Saccharomyces cerevisiae S288C: one gene and its partner. The protein of the gene in region 1 binds, or shares a complex with, the protein of each later gene. Each region holds a gene or a part of one and is shown on either strand. Other genes may lie near its edges. A codon is read from its position in the direction of its gene.

The links. Proteins that work in one complex are often made in the same cells at the same time.
Region 2: the proteins of MAK3 (region 1) and MAK31 are in contact, whole or in part, in a crystal structure (PDB 6YGA), measured with the Saccharomyces cerevisiae proteins. Residues at the interface, in NP_015376.1 of Saccharomyces cerevisiae: Glu13 (codon at 995), Ser32 (codon at 938), Ile33 (codon at 935), Tyr34 (codon at 932), Arg37 (codon at 923); in NP_009948.1 of Saccharomyces cerevisiae: Ala30 (codon at 680), Val31 (codon at 677), Asp32 (codon at 674), Gln34 (codon at 668), Asn36 (codon at 662), Leu37 (codon at 659), Leu38 (codon at 656), Ser57 (codon at 599), Pro59 (codon at 593).

Annotation. Positions count from the first base shown.
Region 1 is NC_001148.4:663,055-665,990, reverse strand, and holds MAK3 (peptide alpha-N-acetyltransferase MAK3), read right to left. Parts: upstream 1,032-2,936; coding exon 501-1,031; downstream 1-500. Other genes in the region: YPR053C (uncharacterized protein), read left to right, coding at 1-203; NHP6A (high-mobility group nucleosome-binding protein), read left to right, coding at 17-298; autophagy protein ATG11, read left to right, coding at 1,318-2,936.
Region 2 is NC_001135.5:154,330-157,232, forward strand, and holds MAK31 (Mak31p), read right to left. Parts: upstream 768-2,903; coding exon 501-767; downstream 1-500. Other genes in the region: PET18 (Pet18p), read right to left, coding at 1-330; HTL1 (Htl1p), read left to right, coding at 991-1,227; HSP30 (Hsp30p), read right to left, coding at 1,780-2,778. UniProt on the Saccharomyces cerevisiae protein: Component of the NatC N-terminal acetyltransferase, which associates with the ribosome to acetylate nascent protein chains in a cotranslational manner.

The DNA.
Region 1 (2,936 bases):
GTAAAGCACAGTCGCAATGGTCACCCCAAGAGAACCTAAGAAGAGAACCACTAGAAAGAAGAAGGACCCAAATGCCCCTAAGAGGGCTTTGTCCGCCTACATGTTTTTCGCTAACGAAAACAGAGATATTGTTCGTTCTGAAAATCCAGATATCACATTTGGACAAGTCGGCAAGAAGTTGGGTGAGAAGTGGAAGGCTCTAACGCCAGAGGAAAAGCAGCCTTACGAGGCCAAGGCCCAGGCCGATAAGAAGAGATATGAATCCGAAAAGGAGTTATATAACGCCACTTTGGCTTAGGGATACTTCCTCCCCGCGTTTTTGTCTGTGTGATTTAATTTCTTTTCCTCTTGTTCTTTTTGAAACTTGCTTTATTATCTCTCTCCTTTCTATTCCTCTTTTCTCTACTGCCCTTTTTCTATATCTATACATATGATTAAATAAATAAATAAAAAAATTGTATTATTAATATATATTTTATCATCATCGAGTGTTTTTCCTTTTATGTGGCCAGCCGGCCATGCATTAGGAACGTAGACCGAGTGCAGCTCTTTTCAGTCAACGGCAATATCAGTTTAAAGGCGTCCCCTTCATTCAAGTAGTAGCGGAACATCCGTTTCATTCTGATGAAACCCATTCCTTCATATAAGTTTAGAGCCGCCGAATTTTCCACCTCTGTTTCTAACATGATCTCATCGCAATGTTCCCTTTGCATTTTATCTATGGCAATTTCCACTAGTTTCTTTGCTATGCCATGCCCGCGGTATGTGGACTCTACGGCTAGCATTCCTATATATCCTCTCAGTCTCACGTTTCTATGCGGGTCCATCTTACACACTATGCAACCAATGGGTATGTTAGGCGTTCCACTCTTGTTGTCAACGGCAATGTACGTTAACTCGGGCCATTGGTTCAAGAAATACCTATATACGTATATCGAGTACGGCTCTGATAGATCCGCATCTATTAGTTTTTTAATACTAGCAAACTGCTCTTCGTTACGTATGTCCAATGGCTTGTACACTATTTCCATGTCCTGACCCAACGCCTTTTCTGTAGTAGTGGCTTTTTTATCTTGTAATCTCTTGTGAAACTTTGTTCTTCATGATTATTATTTTTAATAAGGCTTGCCATGGAGAGCCTTTTTATCGCTTTTGGCTACCCGGTTTCTTGGTAGGAATGGAACTATATAATAGCGATGCCCTTATTTGAGTACCATTTTCTCAAATCAGAACCAAAGTAGTCCTCCTTTGAACAACGATTATTTTAGTGTACTGTTGTTGTTCGGAAAGTACTTCTTTTATTTTCTTTTATACATCATGGCAGACGCTGATGAATATAGCACTGCACCTACCCAGCAAGAAATAACACCACTGCAGACAACAGCCACTATCATAAATGCAATATCTGGAGAATGTATAACTACGAATGTTGATTTTTTCGTTTCCCTGGACAAATTTAAACAGTTCATTGCTAGGAAATGGAAGATTCCTCCCGATCAGCTGCTGATTCTACTACCTTATGGTAACAAACTAAAACCGTCGATGTTTAAAGAGCTGCTTATTAATAGGTCTTTTACTCTAAATGATTTTTACGTTTACGACAGACGACTATTCTCACTTGTTAGTAAACCGACACCAACAAATCTTTTAACGTCTAAGGATTCTAATCCCATGAACTCCCCTAATTCCAACGACTTGACAGAGACTCTGGAATATTTAATTAAGAATAGTCATATATCTCAATACCAAGGTAGCGATACTATTATGATCAAGCCTATGCCCTCGCCTTTGGAGGACGCAGACGTAGATCTTTCGCGTTTAAATTACCATTCCGTAACTAGCTTACTGACGACGAACCTTGGTTGGCTAAGCGCTTTAGAAATAGATGTACATTATTTTAAGAGCCTCATACCAGACATAATAGCCCATATTAAGCGTATTTTTGATGGCTTAACCGTTTGCTCACAATATTTGAAGCTGTACTGCTTTGATGTAGAAAGTTTGTATAACTCAAACGTTCAATTTTTAAATCAGCTGGTAGACAATGGTATGACTTCAAAATGGGAAAAATGCTTCAATGACACCTTGAGTAAGTTGACTGCTTTAGAGGGTGATTCTTTACAAAAGTTCATTAATATTGAATCTCTCCTGGAGAACGAAAAATCTGTAAAGATTCTAAATCATTCAATCAATGGTAAGCTGAATAAAATTAAGAGGGAAATTGACGAAAATGCAAGTTTTAGAGATATTATAACAGTAAACATCGATCGACTGCGGCAAATGTTTACCCCGAATGAATCTAAATTCGAGCTTGAAGACCAAATGGCAGAGAGCTTTGAGGTACTGGTATCAGAAATGCGAACAAGAAGCAGAAATGTACTTGATAAAGAAGAAGAAGAATTCAATAGTCAAGAATTTTTGAAAAGCATGAATGTGATGTTGGAAAAGGATAAAAAAGAATCAGTGAAAACTCTCTTCACTATATCACAAGCGCTGTATTCACAAATAGGAGAACTAATAGATTTAAAAAAAAGTCTACAAAAGCATGCAGTAGCCATTTTGGGTAACATAGCATTCACCCAGATGGAAATCCTAGGTATTAAAAGACTATTATTGAATGAATGTAATAAAGATTTAGAGCTATACAAGAAATATGAGGTAGAATTTGCACAGGTAGAAGATTTGCCTCTGATATATGGGCTTTATTTAATCGAAAAATATCGTAGGCTATCATGGTTCCAACAAATTTTGTCATTTATCTCAAATTTTAATCAAGATTTAGAGTTGTTCAAACAAAATGAATTACGAACAAGAAATAAATGGGTTAAAAATTTCGGTTCCATCGCGACTGTTTTTTGCGAAGATCTATTGTCTTCCTCTGATTTCAAACGTCTAAACGAATATCACTCTCATACTTCTCCACCAAATGAAGATGA
Region 2 (2,903 bases), on another chromosome or scaffold:
CGCTTTATTGTCAAAATTATCTCTTTCTTCCTTGGTGAGGGATGGTGCCAATAATTCTAAGCAGTCATGAAAGTATGAGTTTTCATCATTAGAAAAAAATCCAATCTTTTTGGCTAAGGTTATTAAAGCGTGAGTAGTTGGTGCTAAAGAAGTCGTCTTACATATCAACCTTAAGCTAGTTTCAAAAAATTGCAGATCTTGTGATAAATAGATGTACAAACTACGGTCCTTCAATGTTCCGGCACATAGTTCCTTAGCGAATTTATGTTCTGTGGTTTTCCTAACAAGGGCGTCGTACTTTTGTATTAACTTATCAGTGGTACAGCTCATTGTTCTTCCTTGCAGATATTGTTGATATTGTTATTATTTGCGCTAAATTTTAGTTAATACAGAAAAAAATATCTAAGTTCAGTCCAGTTCATATTCGTTTATATATCTTTCGAAGCCAGACCTTTTTTGCCAAGCAATTGTTACTATGGAAACTATTAGAACCATATGCGCTAAACAATATTAGCCATCAATTCAACTTTATTCGCAGTAAGCTCCTGCAGAACAGGCTTATCAATCATTATGGTCTTAACGGAACGCCTAGGGACGCTGACTAGGCCCATCATTCTACTACTGGAGCCCATACGTTCCTCAACATGATCTAATAGCAAATTCATTTGGGCATCTACAGCAACCAAGCTTCCAACTAAAATACGATCTTCTGTAAGGGAAACTATTAAAGTATTTCCAATAAAATCTGACAGTTTCAAGATGTCCATGACGCTTTGGTGCCCCTTACTAAGTTTGTTGAAGACTATCTTCACCCTATCAATGATATCATCGCATTTAAAAAATAGTCAGAACTCATGCACTTCGCGAGATATTTTTTGAAAAAAAAAAAATTAATCCGCCACATAAGATGCACAAAATGAGCCTATAACATTGAATTTTATGATAGAACGAAAGGATTGTGTTATTTAGAACAGAGTATCAGTATATCGTATGTCACAGAACAACACAATCAGCTCAATGAATCCTGAAAGAGCTTACAACAATGTAACGCTGAAAAATTTAACAGCATTTCAGTTATTATCTCAAAGAGAAAACATATGCGAGTTATTGAACTTGGTAGAAAGTACGGAAAGACACAATAGTATTATCAATCCTGAAAGGCAAAGGATGAGTTTGGAAGAAATGAAAAAAATGCTCGATGCTTTGAAAAATGAAAGGAAAAAGTAGGAAAACGCAACATTCACAATTGTAAGCTACAAAATATTGAATGTGAATCCTGCTTCATTACAAATGAAGAATTTCAAAGCGTATCTAGTTCACCAAAAGTCACAATATCTTATTATTATTTGGAAGCTTTTATATGCATCTAATGGTCATAAATCCCATCTCACTTTATAAAACAAGTTACCGCGAATGTATCCAGTGATACAGAATAGAGTGTAACAAATGAGAATAAAAATACCATATTATCGTTTAATTTTGGTAGGGTACGCTAAAATAAAGTGGTGTTTGCGTCTCCATATAACTAAAAAGAATTGAAATGGCCTACTATCGATTAGACTATTCAGGCATGGAAGCAGTAAGAACATTTCTTGATTTTGGAAAAATGAGATTAGATTATTAATTATTGTGTTTGTGTATATAATTTATTTTGCATATTTCATAAAGAAATTAAAATTAGATTATTAAATATTAAGTTTCATTAGTGACATTAAAAGAAGAAAACTGATGTTTTGAAATGTGTTAAGCAAAGAATGATTAAGACAATCTCAAGCTGCTCTAAGCAGTATCTTCGACAGCTTGCTCTGCTTCAGGTTCGGGTTCGTGGATTGCAGTCTCTCCAGATGCTCTTGGGCTCTCTGGAACAGCTTCTTTTGTTTCAGGAGCCGCATCTTCCACATCGTCCGTAGCATGGTGATGAGAGAATCCTCCTGTCAAAGATAGCCTTGGCAATTTGCCATCACGGCTGACTGCAATTAGCAAGTAACATGGATAAATGGCAAATACACATAAATCCAAAACACCATAAAAGATAGCCTCACCGTCTGGTTGAATACGGTTACCACCATCACTTAGACCCCAACAGATAAAGTACAACCAAACGATTACCATGCAGGTACACAGCATAAGTGCATTGAACCCTCTAGTTTTCAAATTGAAGAATTGACGTTGGCATATCACACCTTGGGTAACCAACATAGCGACAGCACCAATGGTGTAATAACCCCACTTGTAGGTGGACTTGATCAATGAACCAACTAATAGCGAAACAACCCAGAATAAGGTACCCACGATTTGAATTAACAGCGAATGTACCATATCCAAGGCGGAAATGTCGTCATTCTCACCAGTAGTACTAGCGGCTAACTCGATTAAAAATAAAAGGCATGGCCAGGACAAGAACCAGGCAATATATTTCGAGTAAAAGATTTGTCTAATACCGGGAACTTCACCTGTGATAGACTTGCTAACCTTGACGTGGTTAAATTCAGCTTGAACACCAGTCCAACCTAAATCAGAAGCATAAGTGAAGAAAGCAAAAAATTCAAAGAAAGTGATCAAAAATGCAGGAGCTAAGGCATATCTAGTCAATCTGGAGCCCTTGTTCTCCGCAATGAAGAACATCACAACATAGCATAGCAATATAAAGCCAAAGACTGCAAACACTGCCCATAACCAATCCGAACCTCTCTTGGTAATGTGCATATCCAGGCCATGTGGTGGATTAAGCCCTAAAGCCTCGTTACGATTTAAAAAGCTTGATAGCGTATCGTTCATTTGAAATTTGTTGTTTTTAGTAATCAAAAGATATTAAAGTCTCAAACTTGTTGTTTTGTTTTTGTAATTATAAATAATAATAATTGAGTTAATATTTGTTGTTGTGTTGTATTGCAGAATGTAAA